Saccharomyces cerevisiae S288C: one gene and its partners. The gene in region 3 interacts genetically with the main gene of each other region. Each region holds a gene or a part of one and is shown on either strand. Other genes may lie near its edges.

Region 1 (3,241 bases), on a different chromosome or scaffold from region 3:
AACTCCAAAATCTCCAGCGTATAATTAGAAAAAAGATATTTATTGCCGTTGTTTGGTATCAAAGGTTAACCATGGGGAATGTATTCACCCCGGAAATTTCTTCCCAAATAGAGATTCTTGTGAAAGATAATGAATGCTCTTCTTTTGAGGAAAATAATGATTTGGAAAGTGTATCTATGTTACTGCAGTATTACATATTGGAGTATATGAACACTGCACGAATAAACAATAGAAGGTTGTTTAAGAAGTGCATTGACTTTTTTGAAATGTTGATATCTAAGTCGCTTACTTTCTCACAAGAATCTGGACTGATGGTAATATTATATACCTCTAAGATTGTATTCATTTTAGACTCTGATTCAGAGAATGATTTATCCTTTGCGCTGATGAGATATTATGATCGGAAAGAAGAGCTAAAAAATATGTTCCTCTATATCTTGAAACACTTGGAAGAGATGGGAAAACTTCGGGAGAGGGATATTACCTCTTTGTTTCACAAGTTCATTCTTAGCGGCTTCATTTTCACGAGCATGATTCTAGAAGCAATTAGCACAGACAAGATTAATCCTTTTGGTTTCGAACAAGTGAAGATTGCGCTAGGCAGCCCTATTGTTAACGTATTAGAAGATGTCTACAGGTGCTTCGCACAACTGGAACTAAGACAGCTGAATGCAAGTATATCTCTTATTCCTGAATTGTCCGTAGTACTAAGTGGAATTATTCAAGATATTTACTATCTGGCGCAGACATTAAAGTTGTGGAGAAAAATTGCACGATTATACTCCTGTATCTCCATAAGTGACATTATAAGTATGCTGCAAATAAGTGATGACAATGAAATGACAAGAGATGATTTGCTAACAATTTTAATGAGGTCAATAATGAAAAATAGATCGGTTGTGTATTTTAAGTTAGATTTGACAAGTGATTTAGTCTATTTCGGAGACGAGAATAAAGTCATGCTACCGAGATGTTCTAAAGAAGAATTTCGTCTTATGATCTCTCCCAAGGATGAAGAAACCACTGAAAAGGCCAGGCTAATAGATTTTGAGTACGTTAACGATGTCGCGATTTATAATAACCCAACAAGAATAAGAACCAAATCCTCTAAAGAATTTTTCAATACATTAAGAAAATCTAGGGAAACTGTAAAATTACCGAGGGTAAGCAACCAGTCGAATGAAGATACTTTTCTACCATCGTATATGAAGTTTTCCAACAAGTACCTCGAGCTGTGCAAACTGGCCTCTAACAATCTGGAATAGAATGTCGATCAGGCACGTTCGTGTAAACATTACGATTTTGGAATTCCACTTACATAAGATAGCTTCTTTGTAAAAGCCGTTCGAAGATTTCGTTTATAGTGATGCTTTTTCTGGAGAGATTTAAGATAATAAGGATATGTGGAAGGAAATGAAAATGTACACCTACAAAGCGTTGATGGTATGGAAACTATCGACCATAGTTTGTTAAACAGGAAATATTTGCTTGAGGGTAAAGTGTTCTGATTCATTATACAAAGCCCCTTGCTTATAAGAAAAGAAACCAAATCAGAAAAGGAGATTATTTCAAGGTAGGCATCGAAATGGCAAGTAACCAGCACATAGGAGCTTCAAACCTAAATGAGAATGAGGCTATATTAACCAACCGCGTTGCTGAGCTGGAAAGGCGTATGTCGATGTTTGAGGGTATATTTCACGCGTTAAGTAACCGTCTCGATCTTCACTTTAAAAAATATGATGTAGTGGTAAACTCCCAACAGCAACAAATCAACGAACTGACCGCGTTTTTATCAACATTGCTGAATGACCAACAACGCCACGCTGAAATTCTCAGTGAAAAATTAAGCGGAACGTTGCATGGGGTGTCAGCTACGTCAATATCCTTAAGCCAAACTCTTGACCCACAAGGCTTCACTGATGGAACTACGGCACCAGGAGCTCCTAGGAATTATACTTCAGTGCCTATGAATAATGATCAAACTGCTCATCCGCAAAATGAAGGAGCTGTTAGTAATGAAACACTTTTTGAGGACATTTTGAATGGAAATTCACAAGAAAATGATAAGAGTCAACAACAAACTAACAGCTCAAATTCTATAAGCCAAGAAAATAATAGCACCAACCCTTCAGTGGACACTCGGTTCAACAAGCCGCAAAATTATAATTCCAATTTAGTCCCATCCTTGGAAGAGTATTCAGCAAATCCACCTAACAATGATGGTGGCCAAAGTCAAGGACTGTACATAAGCAGCAACTCTTCTCAATCACGGCAGTCTCCTAATCTCCAGAAAGTTTCTCCTAACCATGAAAATGCGGTTGAATCAAATGCACAAGAGAGCGTGCCGACATTTGAGGAGGAACAGTATGAGACTAAAACAGGATTGAAACGGAAACGAATAGTCTGCACAAGACCCTTCGAATTTATCAAGTCACCACACTCTGTGATGGAGGTTTGGAAGGAGTATACAGAAGGTGTTAACGGGCAGCCTTCTATAAGGAAAATGGAAGCTCTTTATCAAACGGCATGGAGGCGAGATCCAGCAGTAAATAAAAGATATTCGAGAAGAAAGGTTCTTTGGAAAGCCATTCAAACTGGCCTTAATCGTGGGTATTCATTAAACTATGTTGTTGAAATATTAGAAAACTCAAGATATGTTAATGATAAACAGAAGGTTAAACAACCTATTGGTTGGTTATGCCACAGTTCTCATATTCCAGAGACTTTGAAGTGACATTTGCTTCTTGTGTATTCACCTTTATCCCAAATTAGCCCTTGTAACACTTATGCTTTTCTTAATAAATTAATAATTGGACTTTCCTTTAAAGTGGGTTGTATCTGTAACAATAATCTCTAATAATATCCTATAAAACTCAGAAGTCAGCCAACAACAATTGTATACGTATACATATCTATATAATATGCCTTGTACTTTACGCTCTTGAATTTAGAATAGCTGAACACCTAACTGAATTTAAGTAAAGGATCCCAAGCGTGAGATATTTAGGTTTACTCAGTTTTCTTATCTTGCCTTTTGATTATCACGTTGAGTGTCGAAGAAACCTGTATTCATCCTCGGCTTCTTGTATATGATTCTAAAATAATGTGTGAAAAAAAAAATAAAATAAAAAAAAGAGGAAAATAATATAGAATAACTATTAAGTTTCATTAAAAAAAAACCATTTGAATATACGACCAAAAACGTTACGCTTTCATAAAGTGTGAATAAGCAAGGGAACTA
Region 2 (4,587 bases), on a different chromosome or scaffold from region 3:
ACGGTGATTGAAAAAGCAACGACCAGTATTATACCTCTTTTTTTTATTATTCAGTTTATATTTTTGCAAGTGATCTTAAGCATTTCTACACAAACTTATGCCAACGTGACCATTTATTATTTTATATAGCAAAAAAAAATGAGGGGCCTTGCAGAACAATTGTTGCGAGTTTCTAATAACAAGCACGTAGAATATTGGCCATTTAATTTTTCTCTTCAATTTATAGAATGGTTGTGTTAGTGACAAAAAGAATATTCTTCCCCGCCAGGACTCGAACCTGGAATCTCCTGGTTCGTAGCCAGACGCCGTGACCATTGGGCCACGAGGAACAAGAATATAAAGATCTCTGAGGGCAAGGTATGCCTATGTCGCAATAAAATGTTTGTTCCTGCGCAAAAGTAAAGTTCTATTAATATACAACTACACAGTTATCGGTTCACACTATTCGATAGTTGTAAAAACCATTTTGATAAAGATATAACAAGGCGTTTATTAAGGACATTTTTGCTACAAGTCGTGAAGTATTGATTGTAGGCGATCGTTGGTAACTTTCTCCATATCGGAATATTCAATATTGAACTCACCCCTCCCTTGCGATAAGCTCCTTAGCTTATTGGTGTAGGTGGTAATTTCCCTTAGTGGCACTTTCGCTTTTATAATTTTTTTTACATTAGAACTGGTCTCTTGAGTGTTTTTTTTATCTTTGGTTGCGTGTAGGGTTGTAACAGCATCAGAGGGAATATATATCCTATTGCTGTTCTCTGGAGAATTACAAGTGGATGCGCCAGAATTTGACACGCTTGATTCGTCTTCAATAGACAGAATTTGAGCCTTTCTTGCTCCTGTTAGATCTTGTAACACCGTACCAACATCAGATTGAGGGATTGTTAGATCAAGATTCATGATGGGTTCCAGAAGGTTGTATTTTTCAGGTTTTAAGTCATTGAGAGCTTTAAAAATTAAGTTTCTAGTAATTTTTAAGATTTCTTGTGGAGTTTCAATATCAGGTGGGACTGACCAATCGCTATTGATTTTGATGGAGCATGCATATAAGGGAAAGTTAGCTATTTTTCCGCCTCTTTGAAGTCCCACAATGCAACTTGCAATAATAGAATTTAGAATTGATTCGAAAGAAACTTGGTATTTCCATTCTTTATCCCAATTACCATTTTTTTCCATTATCAGAAAATTCTCGTTGACTCCTAATGGATATGCAAGGCAGTTAGGAAGGGCATCGGAATTTGGTAGCAGAGATAAGGAGAATCTATATCCATCATCACTCTCATACGTTTCTATATTTGTTTCTGAATTAATTGTTTCTTTGTAGGACACCATCAACTGACCAAATTCAACATCTGCTTTTAGGTCATTAACCAATCGATCCTTGGCAATTTCAAGGTGTAATTCACCCATACCGTTTAAAACCGTTTGGCCAGTCTCATCATTTTGAGAAATTGAAAGACTGGGATCTTCAGTAATTAAAGTGTTTAAAGCTTCTTCCATCGATTTTTTATTACTTAAAGTCCTTGGTTCGATGGAAACACCAAAAACTGGTGGGGGAATGAAGATAGAATTGATTTTTAACGTCAACTCCTTTTTTTTATCAAGTGATTTCAACCCATCCTTCTTCGACGAATGCGTTATTAGTGTATCTCCAGTAGATATGTTGTTTTCGACTGTAGAGCCAGTAAGCAATCCGATTTGGCCCGCAGTTAAAATATTTACAGGTTGTGATGTTCCCGCATGGGGTATCAGTAATTTACCCAATTTAAATTTTTCCCCAGTAGTAGAATTATAAACGGTATTGCCACTGTTTAGTGTACCTGAATAAATTCTAATGAATATTTGTTTACCCCTGATTGGATCCGTAATCACTTTGAATGCAAGAGCAATGCAAAGATTTTTGTTGTTGTTTACTAAACATCCAACTTTGGGGTCATATTTCATTGGAACGGTTTTATCATTTAGTTCTGGTAGTTCGGCTTCAATGGGCGAAGGGAGATAATTAACTATAGCATCTAATAGAGGCTGCACGCCAATATTTTTAAAAGACGCACCGCATAAGACAGGTACAATCATATTCTTCATAGTCAGTTTTCTTATTGAAGCGTTCAAAAACTGTGCGGAAACCTTGGAGTAATCGCCTTCTGCCTCCTCTAAGAAGTGCTGGACTAAATCTTCGTCGTATTCAGTCAAAGTCTCTATCATCGATTCCCTACAACGATTACACTGCTCAAGAGAAGTACCATCCAACTCATCCACGATAATTTCATCAGGATTTTCTGGATTCCAGGTTAATCGCTTCCCATTTACGACGTCAATAACACCTTGGAAAACATAATCATTGCTAGTCGGTTGTTTTCGATAGTAAGGAATGTTTACCAACACCGGTTTGGTAGTTGTTCCTCTCATAAATTTATTTATCAAGTCATTGACTGTATGGTTGAAACTCGCCCCCATACGATCCATTTTGTTGATAAAGCAGATTTTGGGCTTCGATTTACTTTGCTTCCAAACCTTCTCTGTCTGTGCCTCTACGCCGGCAACAGCGTCCAAAATGACCACGCATGAATCAATAACTTTCAAAGCCCTAATCACTTCAAAAGTAAAATCTATATGTCCCGGCGTATCAATAAGATTTATTGCAAAAGTATTTCGCCATGGGAATGAAATCGCAGCGCTTTGAATTGTGATACCTCGGGATCTCTCCTGCTCTAAAAAATCAGTTATCGTATCGCCAGTGTCGACGTCTCCAATATGCTTTGAGATTCCTGCATAATAAAGCATCCTCTCTGTTGTGGTAGTTTTACCTGCATCGATATGGGCTATAATTCCTATATTTCTAACCTTAGACAGTGGACTTCTTGCGGTCGATAAGTATCTACTTCCAACGTTAATTACACTTAATCGGTTCTTGCTAATGTTTACTCTTGCGCCCGCCCATCTGCGCACATTCCATTTCCACATAGCCTCCCTCACTTATCTTGCCCCTTTTGTATATCTCTGACTGCCGTTTTGCCACCAGAAAGCTTGTTGATCTATTTCACATTATCTTCTTTTAACCGCCCAGCCTCCGCGCCGTCGTCGTTCTCTGTGCTGATTGGTTATCTCCCCTCTCACTAAGGGAAGGCCTCAAAAATTGTCGAAATGAGAAGAGGCTGAAACGATTTACTAATCATCATAGCCTGCTTAAACGAGTTAACACTAAGGGGAAGGGTACGACTATCATTTGTTCGGATCTCTGAACCGGATATTTTCTTTGTTACACACATCAAGTTTTTGCATGAATAGATCATATTTCGAATGATTTAACGTATTACAGCTTAGCAATAAAGGGAGTAAAGAAATAATATATTTGGATACAGCATACAAGAATATATATACATATGACCAAAAAACTACCTTCAGAGTTGAAACAGACGAGAAAGTCTATCCAGACAGCTTGTGAATTCTGTCATACCAAACATATACAGTGTGACGTAGGGAGGCCATGTCAAAACTGTTTAAAAAGAAATATTGGGAAGTTTTGCAGAGATAAGAAAAGGAAATCAAGAAAACGAATTGAGAAGCATGGAACACAACCATACTTGAATTTGGGGAAGAGGCTGGTAATACATGATGTGCCGTCGAAGACGGTATCCCCCTCAAGCGTACATCTGCAGCGAGATTTTCTATCTTCAGATCAGGAAAAACCAGGCAAAACACCTGCCCACAATACGAATATCCAATATACGTATAATATAAATGATAACTTTCAAAGCGCTGGATCTATTCCACGTATTACGAACTTCAATACGAATAACCGCCAGACCGTCTTAGAAAATACTTCTAATAATATATCAGCTTCACAAGCAGTACATTTAATGAATGACCCCATCATACCCACCGTACGGAAGAGTACTCTCAATTTAAAGTCGCATTTCCTAGAGCAACATAAAGCAATGCAGCAGCCGCTGGCTACCAATTGTTTGGTTGCTACTTCAAACGTTCCTGTGCACTCTGGAATGGACGATAGTAATAAGAGTGACGATGATGTCGATGACGAAACTAATATTCACTTTGATAGTATGTGGTGCAATGACGAATACATGAAATTAAAGGATATAGTAGATATTTCAACGCCGTTTTTACCGAATAACTCCCAGATATTTTCCCTCCAAGAATCAGAATATCCCAATCCTAGCGCATCTACACGGGGAAATTCGTCATTGCATTTAACGAACCTTTTAAACTCGACAAAAAGCGTGAATGACCAAAAGGACTCCTCGATCGGCCATTCCACTTCTACTTTCAATACATATGATGAAGTAGTGTCTAGGCCCTTTATATCTTTAGACATGCTGCATTTGAATCGTGGAGCAAACGCTAATACACACCCATCACATAACGCCAAACTGGAAAGCGAATGTGACAGTTCTAGTCACTCCGATGCAGATCTGGAGAAACATGATACCGATTTCATATCACCTTCAAAGTTTCGTGAATTAGTAAAGACTCCTCAAGACCTATATGACAATAAATGTTTAATAAAACCGCATAATTACAAGCTCGCATACACCAAACTGCTAACTACTTTAAGAAAAAAAT
Region 3 (3,960 bases):
GGTCTATACTCTGTGCCATTTACCCATAAATCCCATGATTATCCACATTTTAATATCTATATCTCATTCAGTGGCCTCGAATATTGTAAAAATGCTCTTAATACATACGTTATATTACTTTTGCACCATATACTAACCACTCAATTTAAATACACTTATGCCAATATTACAGAAAAATCACCACTAAAATCACCTAAACATAAAAATATTCTATTCTTCAACAATAATACAAAAACATATTGACTTGGAGTATGAACACTACCATGACGTCATTAACGTAAAAGTTCCTTAATATTGCAGTTTGCTTGAACGGATGCCATTTCAGAATATTTCGTACTTATGCAGACCATACATTAGAATAATATGCTACCTCACTGTCGTAACACTCTCCATTCACTGTGCTATAATATGGTACTGTGTTGACACTCATGCGGGTGCTATGATAAAATTGTATCCTATTTCCATTCCCATATGCTATCCGCAATATCCTAAAAGCATAACTGATGCATCTTTAATCTTGTATGTGACACTACTCATACGAAGAGACTATATCTGAACAAGACGATACTGTGATAGGTACGTTATTTAATAGGATCTATAACGAAATGTCAAATAATTTTACGGTAATATAACTTATCAGCGGCGTATACTGAAACGGACGTTACGATATTGTCTCACTTCATCTTACCACCCTCTATCTTATTGTTGATAGAACACTAACCCTTCAGCTTTATTTCTGGTTACGGTTACACAAAAACTATCGCAACCCAGAAATTTTGATATTTTCAGTGTCAAAAAATGAGGGTCTCTAAATGAGAGTTTGATACCATGACTCCGTAACTCGCACTGCCCTGATCTGCAATCTTGTTCTTAGAAGTGACGCATATTCTATACGGCCCGACGCGACGCGCCAAAAAATGAAAAAAGAAGCAGCGACTCATTTTTATGGAAAGACAAAGTGCTGAGAAGTCATGCGCTTCCAATTTCATTATTGTTTATTGGACATACTCTATTAGCTTTATTACCATCCACCCTTTTTCTAGAATAGTGTAAAAGTTTCTTTTTATGTTTATCGTATTCATAAAATGCTTCACGAACACTGTCATTGATCAAATAGGTTTATAATATTAATATACATTTATATAATCTACGGTATTTATATCATCAAAAAAAAGTAGTTTTTATTTTATTTTTCATTACTTTTTACTGTCTATGAATTTTCATTCGTAGAGGCACTCGTCCCTAGTTTGCGATAGTGTAGATACCATCTTTGGATAGAGCCTTGGAGATAGCTGGCTTTAATCTGCTGGAGTACCATGGAACACCGGTGATCATTCTGGTCACTTGGTCTGGGGCAATACCAGTCAACATGGTGGTGAAGTCACCGTAGTTGAAAACGGCTTCAGCAACTTCAACTGGGTAGGTTTCAGTTGGGTGGGCGGCTTGGAACATGTAGTATTGGGCCAAGTGAGCTCTGATATCAGAGACGTAGACACCCAATTCAACCAAGTTGACTCTTTCGTCAGATTGAGCTATAGTGGTGGTTGCGGAAGCAGTAGCAGCGATGGCAGCGACACCAGCGGCGATTGAAGTTAATTTGACCATTGTATTTGTTTTGTTTGTTAGTGCTGATATAAGCTTAACAGGAAAGAAAGGAATAAAGACATATTCTCAAAGGCATACAGTTGAAGCAGCTCTATTTATACCCATGCCTTCATCAGTCATCACTATTTAAACGATTCGTTAACAGACGCTCATTTAGCACCTCACATATCCTCCATATCTCATCTTTCACACAATCTCATTATCAGTATGGAAATGCTCTTGTTTCTGAACGAATCATACATCTTTCATAGACTTCGTATGTGGAGTATTGTTTTATGGCACTCATGTGTATTCGTATGCGCAGAATGTGGGAATGCCTATTATAGGGATGCCGGGGTACCTTGAAAAACCCTTTTGCGCGCCTGTGATTTCCGTTTTCGGTCAAAAAGAATATCTGAATTTTAGATTTGGACCCTCGTACAGAAGTCTATTGTCTAAGCCTAATTTCAGTGCTTTAAACGGCTTCCGCGGAAGAAGCATTTCTATCTCTTGAATTCGTACAACATTAAACGTGTGTTGGGAGTCGTATACTGTTAGGGTCTGCAATTTGTGAACTCTCGGCGAATGCCTTGGTGCAATTACGTAATTGTAGCCGCTGAAGGCGGATGGTATTGAGAGAAGTTGATGTTCAAAGTATCGTGTATGATAAAAATAAAATTGTAACCAGTTCGTAGTAGCAGTATTAAAACTTTGCACAGAGGGAAATATTTGATTCCGAGATGTAATCCCTCTTTTCTAGCCAGATATGAAGGAGAAAAGTGTAAGGGTAGTAGAGAGCGCTACTTTATTTTATTTTATTTTAAAAATGTTCTCTAGGAAAGGTGTATTAATAGTTGATAAAAAAAGTATTTTGTCTTCTATGTTCATAATTTCAATTCTTGAATTTTGGAAATCGTGAAATGCTTCGAGAAACCGCCTTCAATAATTAGAAAACAAAATAAAAGATTACAATTAGGCCACTCAAAAATACAATTCAGATAAGAAAGGAGCGATAGTGGGGAGTAAGAATTGGAAATACCCTTGATAATCAGGGAAAACTTAAGGAACGGGGTGTTAAAAGTCTGTGAAGTATAGATCAAACTCGCACTAGCTAGCAATACTCATGAGAACCCATGTGAGTCTAAAGCTGTGAAACTTCTTTAGAAAGCAGAGCATCCTCTAAGTTAACAGTTTTCCATACTTATTCAGTATGGATCAAGTTCCACAGTTTGTCAACTTCTGTAAAATAAACTTGTAGTGCTTCTTCGATGAAAAGGGATAGAATCTTTAAAAGACTTGATCTTGGCATTTTTATCCTCCTTCAAGCAGAATGGCTCCAGTAGAGTTGTTCTGAACGCTTCTGGGCAGTGAGCAGCATTGAAGAAAAAGTACTCAGCATTCCAAGCTTTGTTTTCATATAATTATAAATTAAAACTCATAGCCACCAATTTCCAGGTTTTGGTCGCAATATGCTGCAGAGTCAATGGCTTGTTTCATTACTATACTAGTCCGACGGAGTTTACTTTACTCTAAATTTTCTGAAATAGAAAGGCCACACGCCATACAATTAACAATAGTTCATTTAGTTGAAAGGTTTCCGAGATAGAAAGTGCGGTAGTGGAGAAGAACAATAAACGTATCAAACTTTGCGCAGTCATGGAATTTCCAGGAAACATTTTTAGGTTTTCATATGACAGCAGTTCCTGTCCGAGAGCTGTGCCTTTCTTGTCTCAGCTGACTAAGATGTCTCGGATCCGCCCGGCTGACGCGCGGCTCCGTCTAGTGGGATAGGCTTTCAACACATAGAAAACCCTTCAGATGATGAGAACACATCGAATCCCAGAGAGTAATATCACTAAGAATAAAGCAACCATGATAGACGATATTACTAAGTGTTCCTCAACAGATATTGAGAAAAGTTCTTATAAAGCGGGCAGGCTTTTTTCTATTTTTTTCTTTTTCTTTATCTAGCTTAAGATCTTTCTAACCATATTCTATAAAATGGCAAGCTGAATACAGATTATCAACGACAATTACAGATAACCTACAAACATGCAAGTTGCAATTCCAGAAACCATGAAGGCTGTCGTCATTGAAGACGGTAAAGCGGTTGTTAAAGAGGGCATTCCCATTCCTGAATTGGAAGAAGGATTCGTATTGATTAAGACACTCGCTGTTGCTGGTAACCCCACTGATTGGGCACACATTGACTACAAGATCGGGCCTCAAGGATCTATTCTGGGATGTGATGCTGCTGGCCAAATTGTCAAATTGGGCCCAGCTGTCAATCCTAAAGACTTTTCTATCGGTGATTATATTTATGGGTTCATTCACGGATCTTCCGTAAGGTTTCCTTCCAATGGTGCTTTTGCTGAA

What was found. Genes that interact genetically often act in the same process or in processes that back each other up.
Region 1: mutations in PAU4 (region 3) and MSN1 together harm fitness more than expected from each alone (negative genetic interaction), as found in Saccharomyces cerevisiae (2 studies listed by BioGRID).
Region 2: mutations in PAU4 (region 3) and MEF2 together harm fitness more than expected from each alone (negative genetic interaction), as found in Saccharomyces cerevisiae (one large-scale study listed by BioGRID).

Annotation. Positions count from the first base shown.
Region 1 is NC_001147.6:98,224-101,464, forward strand, and holds MSN1 (Msn1p), read left to right. Parts: upstream 1-1,585; coding exon 1,586-2,734; downstream 2,735-3,241. Other genes in the region: RRI2 (Rri2p), read left to right, coding at 1-1,265. UniProt on the Saccharomyces cerevisiae protein: May function as a transcriptional activator. Increased dosage of MSN1 restores invertase expression in yeast mutants defective in the SNF1 protein kinase, and msn1 disruption reduced derepression of invertase in the wild-type. May affect SUC2 expression.
Region 2 is NC_001142.9:229,681-234,267, reverse strand, and holds MEF2 (mitochondrial elongation factor MEF2), read right to left. Parts: upstream 2,968-4,587; coding exon 508-2,967; downstream 1-507. Other genes in the region: GSM1 (Gsm1p), read left to right, coding at 3,387-4,587. UniProt on the Saccharomyces cerevisiae protein: Mitochondrial GTPase that mediates the disassembly of ribosomes from messenger RNA at the termination of mitochondrial protein biosynthesis. Not involved in the GTP-dependent ribosomal translocation step during translation elongation.
Region 3 is NC_001144.5:1,060,564-1,064,523, reverse strand, and holds PAU4 (seripauperin PAU4), read right to left. Parts: upstream 1,606-3,960; coding exon 1,243-1,605; downstream 1-1,242. Other genes in the region: YLR460C (uncharacterized protein), read left to right, coding at 3,637-3,960.